Linked DNA regions of Lonchura striata. The protein of the gene in region 2 purifies or fractionates together with the protein of the main gene of each other region. This does not show direct contact. Links are inferred from orthologs where the notes say so. Each region holds a gene or a part of one and is shown on either strand. Other genes may lie near its edges. The genes, in order: EWSR1, PRMT8 and HNRNPU.

Region 1 (3,743 bases), on a different chromosome or scaffold from region 2:
GGGATGGGATAGGATCTATGGGATGGGATCCATGGGATCCATGGGGTGGGATGGGATCCATGGGATGGGACGGGATGGGATCCTTGGGATGGGATGGGATGGGATCCATGGGATGGGATCTGTGGGATGGGATCTATGGGATGGGATGGGATTCCTGGGATAAGATGTGACCCATGGGATGGAATGGGATGGGATGGGATGGGATGGGATCCATGGGATGGGATCCATGGGATGGGATAGGATCTATGGGATGGGATCAATGGGATGGAATGGGATGGGATGGGATATGATCTATGAGATCCATGGGGTGAGACCTATGGGATGGGATGGATTGGGATGGGATGGAATGGGATGGGATAGGATCTAGGGGATGGGATCCATGGGATCCATGGGGTGGGATGGGATCCATGAGATGGGACGGGATGGGATCCTTGGGATGGGATTGGATGGGATGGGATGGGATTGGATGGGATGGGATGGGATCCATGGGATGGAATGGAGTTCAGGGACACCCAGGGGACACATGGCTGTGCCATGGGACACCCACCCGCGATGTGACACCAATCCATGCAACATCAGCCCCGGGACACCCACCCGCATCCCACCACCCATGGGACACCCAGCTGTGCCACCACAGCCCGGGTCACCCCCAGTACACGCAGGACACGCGGTACCCCCTCATGTCCTCATGGGACATGATGACGTCATGCAGCGATGACACGCGGTGACGTCACTCTGCCACGCTCGCCACGTGGGCAGCGTGCAATGCCAACCACAGCACGGGCACCCCAACGAGCACCCGCCCTGCCACTTCTCGGCACCTGGCGAGGTCGCACACAGCCCGTGGCGCCAGCCGCCGGCCGGTGACACCGAGTGACCGACCTCACGGCCAGGAGGCGCCGCCAGGCCCCCCCCGCGGCACGGCGCGTGACGTCACGGCAGCCCCGCCACGCCGCAATGACATCACTACGCCGGCCGTGACGTCACGCCCCCGCCGCGCTCCCCGCTCCGCCTCGCGGCCCGAGCGCCTCTTGCGCGACGGTCCCTAACGGCCGCGGGCCGTACCATCCCTCCGCCCGGCGGGGGGGGGAAGCGCGCAGCGAGGCGGCGGAGCCGCAAACCGGAGCGGCGGCCGCTGCCGGCGGGGCCGTCCCGGTTCCCCGCGGACGGCAGCAGCGGCGGGCGGGCGGCGGAGCGGGGCGGGCCGAGCCCCCGGGGCGCGATCTGCCGGCGGCGCCCCCCGGGCGCGGGGTGGTGCGCGCGGCGGGGCCGGGCGGCGCATGCGCGGCGCGGGGCGGGGCCGGGCGGGCAGCGCGGAGGAGGAAGGCGAGAAAATGGCGTCGACGGGTGAGCGGGGCCGGGGCGGGCCGGGCCCGGGGCGGGCGGCGGGGCGGGACGGGACCCCCGGCAGCGCCGCCGCCCCCGCCGCGGAGCGGCCGGAGGGGCGCTGGGACGGCGCCGCCGGCCCGCGGCGCCGCGCCCGGGGGGCCGCTGGGGTCGGGCCGTGCAGGGCCCGTCCCGCCCGTGTCCCAGCGGTCCGCCCGCCCGGGCCGCGCCGGGGCCGCGGGTGTTTCCCCTCAGTGTCCGCTGCGGCTCTTGCGGCCGCTCGGTGCCGCCGGATCGCCGGGGCCCCGCGCTCGCAGCAGCCGAGGCCGAGCGGGGCTCGCTCCGGCCCTGCCGGGCGGCTCTGGCTGCGATGCGGGACGGCGGAGCGCCGCGGGTGGGAAGGGAGCCGGAGCCATCCCGGGGGCAGCGACACCTCCCGCTGCCCCTGCGGGCTCCCAGCCCGGCCCGCGGCACCGCCGGGCACGGAGCATCCTCTGGGATCTCCGCTCCAGCACCTCCCAGCCAGGAATTCCTGCCCAAAGTCCCATCCAGCTCTCCCCTCTGGCAGTGGGAGCCATTCCCTGTGTCCTGTCCCTCCATCCCTTGTCCCCAGCCCCTCTCCAGCTCTCCTGGAGCTCCTTTATGCCCTGGAAGGGGCTTTGAGCTCTCCCTGGAGCCTTCTCCTCTGCCAACTTTTCCCCACAGGGAGATAAGATGTTCCACCATCTCCATGGCTCCACATTTTTCTGAATGAAACGTTTTTCCACGAGGGCTCCAGCTGGATACAAATAGTTGGAGACTGAGACTCTCCAGCTCAGTACACCTTAAAGTACTTTAAATCCCAGCAGGATTTGACTCCCTTTAAAAGAAATGAGGATTTTCCTTTTTTCCAGCAAGGAAAATCTCCCAGGCCATGGAGTGTGAGGGAATATCACCAACAGCACCTTGGGGAGCTTGAAAAAGAAAAGTCAGTAAAGGAACATCTGCCAGTGGAATTGTCAGGATGGGGGTTAAAACCACAGCTGTGTTTTCCCTTAATTCATGGAATTGTTCCTCCTGGGAGCTGCTATTTTCAGCCTCTGGTGTGCTTCTGAGCCTTGTGAAATAAAAGGAAGAAGATTAATTTCCCCCTGGAAATAAAAGCCAGGAGATGGGTTTAACTAAATGAACCATAATATTATTTTTTATTAATGTTCCATGTTCCTCTAAATCCCAGCAAATTAAAAGAGAGGCATCACCACAGGCAAACTGCAAATTCCACACCTGGAATTAAATCCTGCAGAGGGGAAAATGTTGGGTTTAGGTGGGACTGGGGGAGGGCTGTGAGGAGAGGGGTTAATTGATACCCCTGCGTGGAGCTCGAGGCCAAAATGGGCTAAAAACAAATTAAATGAGGTTTTGGTGGCTGGAGGGTGAGCAGGGAAAAAAGTGGAGTGGTAGGGAAAGGGAAGCTGGATGAGGGGGACCAGGCATTAATTAACACTCAGGATTTAGCAGAACCACATGTAAAGTGAATGAAAAAAAAAAACAAACAAACCCAGAACCCTGAACTGAACAAGGAAAATGTTCCAGTATCCCACTTGCCAACCTGAGAGGGAAGTGGGAATGCTGCCAGGGGAGTTTAACAACTTGTGCCTTGTGTCCTGGGAGCAGGGAAAGCTTTGGAGAACTCCAAGTGTCTTCTTTCCCCGTGTGAGGTGTTCTGGGCAAGGTCAAAGGAATGGACAACTGCCAAGGATTCCTGCTGGGATCCCTGTTCCTGCCTCCAGCAGGGATCCAGGGGCTCTGCTCCTGCCCAGGGAGCAGGAGGAGAAGCTGGGAGCACCCCTGGAGGCTGGGCAGGAAGGGTTTAGTAGGGATGGATGCACAGGCTGGGGAACAGGAGGTTGTGCTGGATGGAAGCTGTGTTTTCCAAGTGATTCCTGGGGCTCCATGCCTTGGGAATTGTGGGATAATGGCATTAAAGCCAGGCAAAATTTGCTTCCTCAAGTTCTCCAGTGCAGGAGTTGAGCATGATCCGTGTGGGTCTCTCCCACTTGGGGATATTCCATGATTCTTGGGAGAAACTTGGATTTCTGGCCAAGGTGTGATGGTGATGGGAGCAGTGGAAACTCTTCCCGCACAGGGATGGTTGGGAGCAGCTCCACTGATGCAGCTTCTGGCTGTGGCCTCCACCAGGAGGTTCTGGGCTCATTCCTGATCTCCTGAGCACCTTCTGTGCTCCTGGCAGAGCTGGGGTCTCTGGCCAGGTCTGCTGGGAATGATGAATTCATCCGTGCTCCGGACCTTGGGTTGGGAGCTGGAGCTGTTGCTGCCTCTGAGGGAACTGGGAGCTGCAGTCCTTTCAAATTTAGCCTCCTAATTGCCATGTGGATTCATTTTCCATCCCTGCCAGCAAATCACTTCAGCACAGGCTT
Region 2 (3,743 bases):
CATCCCCATGGGGCAGAAGAATAATTTTGATCTCTACTCTCTAATTCATATACTCTATTTCCAGTCCCCCACCCCCAGGAATATTTCTGCCTCCCGAGTGCCCAGGGACCTCCTGGGTTTTGGCAGTACTTCAAGGTATGTCAGTATTCCAGAGGTCAGATGAGGATAAACTCTAATTGAAAGGTATTAAAATAGTCTGCAAGAGACAAAAATTCAAAACCCCAAATCTATCAAAATTTTTTACTGATGAAGCATCTGGGCTGGCCATGTCCTTAAAATATGCATCAAAAGTAATCTTTCAAACCTCTTCTTCAGGTCTCCATTGGCACCCCCAGAGGAAATAATTTCAAACTGTTCAGAGAGCAGCAATCCTGTTCTGGTCCTTGAAATCCTTCGAGCAACACACACCCACACAGCAGCATTATTTTCTCACCTCCTCCGTATAAAAACAAAACAGAAACGTGAGAACAGTGGGCTGGAGATGGAGCTGCGGAAAGTGAAGTTGGAAGGATTAATTATGTAATACGCCCCCTCTCCCGCCCTTACCCGCAGCAACACGAGTGAGGTAAACCCAATCCTCCCAGCTGACAACTCAGAACTAGAAAGTGCCCGGAGGAGTGAAAGCAAAATAAACGTGTGGGGAAGGTGGCGATGCACTCCTACAGAGGAAGATGTCATTAGGAAAAGGCTAAAAACAAGTTCAAATCACCTTTAGCCTCTTCCCTCCCCTCCCCAGCAAGACCTCTCCCTCCGCCTCTTCCCCTCTCCTCCCCCCAGCTCCTCCTCCCCCCTTTTCAGCAGGAGCTGCAGCCGGATCGGGACTATATCCCTACAGTTCACGGCTCTCTGACGGAGCGTGGATCCTCCTGAAAAACTTCAAGTAAAACAGGAGCTGGGAGAACACACACACGAAGATATATTAAGAAAGCAGGTTTGCTACTTAACTCGGAGGAAAGAAGCTGGAGCAGACTTCTTCGGTTGCTCTCTAAGAGCCTTGCCGAGAGTCCTTGCAAAGAAAAGTGTTGCTGATTCAAAAGAAGAGGAGGGATGGGGAAGAGAAAAAAAAAATTGTGCATGTCTGTGTGAGAGAGAGACAACGTGTGTGTGCGTACGTGTGAATGCGTGCTTGTGTGTGAGAGGGTGTAGGCGACGGGTGGGGGGAGCTTGAAATTATGTATTTTTTTTCCCTACGAAAGACACGTGAATGCAATTCCCAGTGAGGGGCACCAAGCTCTGCCCAAGAGCAGAAGGGGTAGGGAGAGGGAAAGGGAGAAGAGAAGGAAGGGAAGGGGAGAGGGGGGGAGGAGGGAGGGAGAAGGAGGAGGAGAAGGGATTTCTATTTCAGAAGACATTCATAGAAAGAGGGTGGCAAATTCTGTGACCGTCTTTAAAGGAAGTGTCCTGGGACATAGAGAGAAAGAAAGAAGCCCAAAGAAGGAAAATAAAGGGCTATGATTTCCTTGTCCTGTTGCTTTGTCTCTGGCTCCCTCTGCCTCTGGAAGAGTAGCCACAGGACACAAAGATGCCCAGCTGGTCACTGCACGCCCAAGTTCAGTTTAGCTGGTGCTTCTCTCCTGTTTAGCCTGACTGCTTTCTCTGAAGGGGAGGACTCATAGCCCGACAGCCTTTTAGTTTAACCTGAAGAGTGTGTGCCGCCTCTCTCTGCCCACCCCAAGAACTCGCTGGAGGTGGAGGAGAGGGGAGAAAGAGGAGGACTTGAAAGTGCCTGAGGAGCTCCCGATGCTAAGAGGAGACAAACATTCCTGTGGACGACGAAGAAAGGACAAAGCTGACTGATTTATTGCTGTTTTCCATATTTTTTTTTTCTCCCTGTCCTTTGGCGCACACCAGTGTTTGGAGATCTTTGAAAACACAAACCAAAACACCAGCCCCGAAGCCCCAACCCCTTGGCTAGCTCTTATGGGAATGAAACACTCCTCCCGCTGCCTGCTCCTAAGGAGGAAAATGGCGGAGAACGCTGCCGACAGCACCGAGGTGAGTAAGGATGCGAGCCGGAGCCGGCGCCGCGCTCCCCCAGAGCCGAGCTCTGATCCCTCGGCAGAAGCAGCGGGAAGTGCAGAACAACTTTCCCGGCCCCTCCGGCCAGCTCCTGCCTGCCGTGCTGCTATGGTTTCCTGCATTCGCCCCCCCTCTCCCCCCGATCCCTCCGTTCCCCGTGGGCAGAGAAGTTTGCCCGCGCCGAGCCCTCCAGGCGCTCGGGGCTGCTCCGCGGCCGCTTCCCGGGAAGTTGCGCGGCCGCGCGGCGCGGAGGCTCCGCGGGGCTGGGGGCAGCGGGGACGGGCGGCGGCGGTTCGGGTGTTGGGCGCGCCGAAAGGGACGGACCGTCCCTTGCGGCAGCACCTTGGCCAGCTCCCCGCGCTTTCCGCCGGCAGCCTTGGCCGGGATCGTTCGGGGCCACTTTAGGAGCATCCGCGTCTCTGCAGCATCCTGGATATTACCAGAGCGGAGCTGCCCGAGGTGGGGGCTGTCCGGCTGGCCTGGGCAGTGCCGAAAATAGCTCTGCACTGCCTTCAGGCCGGGAGGGTAGCCTGCGAGGTCTCAGGTTTTCTGCAAGAAATCCACCCCCCACCGCCGCTCCCCCACCCGTTACCTTCCGCTTCCTCAACACTGGGGTTGAGCAGCCCCTGTTTACTTGTCTGGGGCTGTCTTGACCTCACTGAGACTTCTCGGGGGATACAGCAGTGTGCGAAGTCTCAGGTCTGGAAAAGCAGAAGGATGCAGGATGCAGTCCCAGCATCTCTGCGAGCATGTGAGAAGGAGACAGGCGAAAGTGCGAGCGTGTGCCAAACTCCCTGTTTCTATTTATAGGCTGTGCCTAGCACTCTGACTGAACACTTAACACATGCTTAAGCAAGATGCAGCACAGACCTGTACAGACCCCATGGACGTGCACCCCAAGCAACTTTACAGCTTTGCCTTGCAGGGACAGCACTGAACCTTCTCTCCAGTTACCCTGCAGAGGGAATAAAGAGCAAAACCTATTGTGAACACATGACTATTTCATTCTTTCTTTTTTCCACATCTCTGCCCAATGTCTCCTTCTCTCAGTTATTCCTCCCAGTAGGTGTCCTGCTCGCTCATGAATTCCATCCACATTTCTCTTCACAATAGTGTTCTCTCTGCTTGACCTTCATGAATATGCCTCCTTTGCCATGCCAGGTGAAGAGCCAAATTTTCTTAAATGAATGTGATGTAAGCACTAAATCAAAGAACATGCCTGCTACTGCGCTACAACCCCATAGAGTACTGCTTGCAGAAGAGGCATCTATAAATAGAAAGAAGTCTGGCTGCACATCTGTAAACTGTTGTAGACCTGACAGCACATATTGCATTATAGGTCCCAGGATCCCAGGACAGGATTGCAACAAAAAATGTACAAGCACAGACAGCTCCTTTTAAAGCTGTTTTTGTCTATGGAAATTGTTTTTAGACAGGGAAAATAGGTGAAAAGAGCTCTTTAAATATTCCTCTTCTATTTCATTCACTCTTAGCACATTTTTGTTGTTTAATCATGTTTTCCTGCTTGTGCAATGCTGCACAAACTGCAATGTTATTTTATGGAGAAGGTCTTTTTTAACAAAAACAGATTTATTCCAATGTTGCATACAGGTTAGGAGGATATTAACATGCTGTGCTTCATCTCCTCAGAGTATCCATCAGTGACAGACTTGTGAAATGAGAGTGAAAATATTGCAGATTAGGCATATCCTGCTCCACTTCTA
Region 3 (3,743 bases), on a different chromosome or scaffold from region 2:
ATCCTCTGGTGATTTGACTTGTATTCCTTTTCCTGCAATTGAAAATTAGCTTTTTATCCGGGTTCCCTAAGGAAGCCGACTTGCAGATCCGTGCTACCATTCTGTTTGTATGAAATCCTCTCCACTCTTTGTTTTCATGTTACTTTTGAGCGAATTGGAAAAATCCAAAATTAAACGACTGTACAACGTGAGCGGCTGTGGAGAGCCCCATATGAACGCTGTGCAGAGGGAGAGGCAGGGGGGAGAAAAGAGGGAAAGCTGCGCAGTTTTGGTGAGCAGATTAGCCCTGTGCCGAGCTCCAGATTAGTTCATGCCTTTGTTACCGCCGGCTCCGGTCACGGCTCAGCCCCGCGCCTGCCTCCCGGTGCTGCGGGCACGGGGTAGCCCCGCTCCTGCCCTTATGTAACTGCTGTAGCAGGCCTGTGCCAGGGGAACTATTTGGAGCAGCAGTGTCCCTTTTTAAAGCCTGTAAGCAATAAACCGTGCGAGACTAGGCCCGACCAGGGCGCAGGGGAGCCAGCGGAATCGGGACAAGGCTCTGCGAGGCTGTGGCTGGAACGCGGGCCCCTCGTGGGGGGCATTTCGGTCGGGCTGTGGCCTCACGCGGGCGGGAGCCGGCACGGGGGTGGTTCTCAGCCCGGAGCGGGTTCATCGTGCCGGAGCGGTGTTACAGCCGATCCGCCACCGCCAAGGGACCCGCCGGGACAAGGGCGGCGGGGCATGCAGCGCTCGGGCGGTATTTACGGTAATGCGGTCGTTACGGTAGCGCGGGAGGGCCTACGTGCGCGGGGGCGGGACGGCGCGCGCGGCGCCGGTGCGTGCGCGGCCCCGTGAGGCGCGTCTCCCTCGCGAGCTCGCGGTGAAAGGATTTGGCGCCAGGCGGGTCCGGCTCCGCAGCTCCCGCAGCCGCACGAACCCCCCGCGCCTCCCGCCCGCACCCACCGCCCGCCGGGGCACCGACACACCGCAGGCAGAGCCAGAGCCGCCCGTCTGTCCCTGCTCGCCGCCGCCCGCGCGCCGCCCAGGGACCGAGCCGCCACTGCTGCCGCCGCCATGAGCTGCTCTCCCGTGAACGTAAAGAAGCTGAAGGTGTCGGAGCTGAAAGAGGAGCTGAAAAAGCGGCGCCTCTCCGACAAGGGCCTCAAGGCTGAGCTCATGGAGCGGCTCCAGGCCGCGCTAGATCAGGAGGAGGCCGGCGGGGGCGGCCCCGCCAGCGGCGCGGCCGAGCCCGGCAACGGCAGCGTGGAGGGGGAGGCGGCCGAGAGCGGCGGGGGCGCCGCGCAGCTCCGCCAGGGGGGGGGCCCCGGCCAGGCCGCGGCCTCCGCCATGGAGGACGACGACGAGGAAGGGCTGGAGGCCGCCGATGGCGACGCCATGGAGTTGGGCGAGGAGAACGGCGAGCGGGCAGGGGCCGGGGGCGGCCCCATGGAGGAGGAGGCGGGCGGCGAGGAGGAGGAGGAAGAGGAGGAGGATGATGAGAACGGCGACGACCAGGGTTTTCAAGAGGGGGAGGACGAGTTGGCCGACGAGGAGGAGGCCGCGGCCGGGGACGCCAACGGCCACGGTGACCAGCAGCCGCCGCAGCCCCAGCAGCCGCAGCAGCCCCCTCCGCTCCTCCCGCCGCGCGGCGCCGCTGCCGCCAAGGAGGCTCCCGGCAAGAGCGCTGGGGGCGCCTCGGGGCCCGCCGCTGCCTCTGGCCCGGCGGGCCCCGCCAAGCAGCAGCAGCAGCAGAAGAAAGCGGAAGGCGGCGGCGGAGGCGGCCGCCCCGGGGCGCAGGGCGTCGGGGGTGAGTGAGCGAGGCGGCGGGAAGCGGGGTGGGGGCCATTAATCCCATCCCCCCGCCATGACGGGGGTTGTTGGGCCGGGGGGGGTTGGGGGCGGCGGTTTCCGGGGCGCGCGCGGGAGGACGTTGGCGGCCCCGCGCCTCGTGCTGGCCCGGCGGGGGAGGGGCGGGGAGGAGGGGCGGCGGAGGGGCCGCTGGGGCGCGCTGTGCATTGTGCGCCCGCAGCGCGGGGCGCCTGACGTCACTTCCGGGCTGGGCGCCGCCGCCGCTCGGGATGGCGCTGGGAAGGCCTGGCGGTACAATGGAGGCGGGAGGAGGAATCCCTTCCCTGGGGCTGCCGCCCGCGGCCCGCCGGGAGGAGGCGCAGTCGTGCGGATCGCACGGTGCCCTTGCGAGAGGCTGGCAGTGACCCGCTGCCTCCGTGGTGGGCGGGTGGTGATGGTGTTGCGGGTCTGGAGGCGCGGTGGCTCAGGAGATTTTTTTGGTTTTTTTTAATCATTTTGGTGGGGATTTCTTTTTTTTTTTTTTTTTTTCGGGGCTGTTTCAATGGGGCTCATAACATTGAGGGCCGTACTCGCTGCTGTGTGGTGTATTGGCGACTTCCGTATGCTAAATAATTTCTGATTGGCGACAAGTTTTGAGTCTTCCCGTGAAAATTCAACATACAGGGCTTTACCTTAGTAACATAGTAAAATGCCCTTTTAAGATGTTACTGCTTATCTTATGCTGTAGCTTGCTGCAGCTTGCAAAGTTGAAGCCATGATATAGATTCTAATCCAAATTAAACTAATCAAAATAAATCATTGCTTCTGTTCTAGGAGATGGTAAAACAGAGCAAAAGCCTGGTGAGAAGAAGAGGGGAGTGAAGAGACCACGTGAAGACCATGGCCGGGGATACTTTGAATACATTGAGGAAAACAAGTACAGCAGGTAAACAGAATTGGTACTGGGCACATTTTGTGATGAGGAGGCATAGAGTACAGAAATGTTATTTTAGCTTAGTGAAAATACGTGTAACTTATTCTGTTTTGTTTGGTTTTGTTTTTTCAGGGCCAAGTCTCCTCAACCACCTGTTGAAGAAGAAGATGAACATTTTGATGACACAGTGGTTTGTCTTGATACTTGTGAGTAAACATGCTTTCCTTTACCCTGGAAAGATGTGGTGTTGAGGCTTTTACTCTTAATGCCACGCTTTCTGAGACGGGGAGGATAACATTTGTTGATTTTCATTACCAGGTAACTTTTTTAAAAAAATTAGAAAAATACTCTGTTTCCACCCATTTTCAGCAAAGAAAACAACAGAAGGACCTGAGTATGTTAGCAGTAATAAACTTGGTTTTCTTTCAATTCTGTAGTGATAGACAGTTCTGTGAAGAAATCTTAACCAAAACACTAATCTGGTATGGAAGTTTAGGTGAGTAAGTGTAGAGTGCACATAGAACACTCTGGAGACAGGTTGATGAAACAGCTGTCCAGCACTGTTGCCCAGAAAGCTCAGAGAGTAGCATAAGTGTTTACAAAGCACAGTTTGGGAAGTGAGCTTCCTGCATACATTCCCTTATTTAGATACTGACTAGTGGAGTGTTTCTTCTGTCTTCTGATCAATTTAACAAAATCTAGTAATGCTTCCTCAGAAATGAGCCATTCATGTAACGTGTGAATGTGTGGCTTTGCGTGGTGGTTTGTGCAAGTGGGATGGCAGAGAGACTTAGTCTACAGAGCATATAAATGGAGAACTATCTGCAAACAGGGTTGTTTTTGAGGCAGATTATAAACATTATTACTGTAACATTATTATGGCAGAGTTGACATTTGTATTCTTGAGGGTAAGTATAAGGACTCAGTGCAATATTAGAAAACTTGATCTTGAAGTAATGCTTGAACTCGTTGGATTCTTACAGTGCCATGGAAGGGAAGCTTAACTTTTGGCATTGTCTGGCATACTTCTTAGAAGTTTCAG

What was found.
Region 1: the proteins of PRMT8 (region 2) and EWSR1 purify together in Homo sapiens (affinity purification with mass spectrometry; 3 studies listed by BioGRID and IntAct, counting the BioPlex papers as one, with this or other methods). This does not show direct contact. The link is inferred for Lonchura striata from reciprocal best matches to the Homo sapiens genes PRMT8 and EWSR1.
Region 3: the proteins of PRMT8 (region 2) and HNRNPU purify together in Homo sapiens (affinity purification with mass spectrometry; 3 studies listed by BioGRID and IntAct, counting the BioPlex papers as one, with this or other methods). This does not show direct contact. The link is inferred for Lonchura striata from reciprocal best matches to the Homo sapiens genes PRMT8 and HNRNPU.

Annotation. Positions count from the first base shown.
Region 1 is NC_134620.1:3,038,026-3,041,768, reverse strand, and holds the start of EWSR1 (RNA-binding protein EWS), read left to right. Parts: upstream 1-1,286; 5' UTR 1,287-1,334; coding exon 1,335-1,347; intron 1,348-3,743. UniProt on the Homo sapiens protein: Binds to ssRNA containing the consensus sequence 5'-AGGUAA-3'. Might normally function as a transcriptional repressor. EWS-fusion-proteins (EFPS) may play a role in the tumorigenic process.
Region 2 is NC_134604.1:30,643,172-30,646,914, forward strand, and holds the start of PRMT8 (protein arginine N-methyltransferase 8), read left to right. Parts: upstream 1-1,182; 5' UTR 1,183-1,204; coding exon 1,205-1,252; intron 1,253-1,851; coding exon 1,852-1,995; intron 1,996-2,611; exon of another isoform or gene 2,612-2,808; intron 2,809-3,743. UniProt on the Homo sapiens protein: S-adenosyl-L-methionine-dependent and membrane-associated arginine methyltransferase that can both catalyze the formation of omega-N monomethylarginine (MMA) and asymmetrical dimethylarginine (aDMA) in proteins such as NIFK, myelin basic protein, histone H4, H2A and H2A/H2B dimer.
Region 3 is NC_134605.1:31,754,315-31,758,057, reverse strand, and holds the start of HNRNPU (heterogeneous nuclear ribonucleoprotein U), read left to right. Parts: upstream 1-815; 5' UTR 816-1,053; coding exon 1,054-1,786; intron 1,787-2,601; coding exon 2,602-2,713; intron 2,714-2,833; coding exon 2,834-2,907; intron 2,908-3,743. UniProt on the Homo sapiens protein: DNA- and RNA-binding protein involved in several cellular processes such as nuclear chromatin organization, telomere-length regulation, transcription, mRNA alternative splicing and stability, Xist-mediated transcriptional silencing and mitotic cell progression.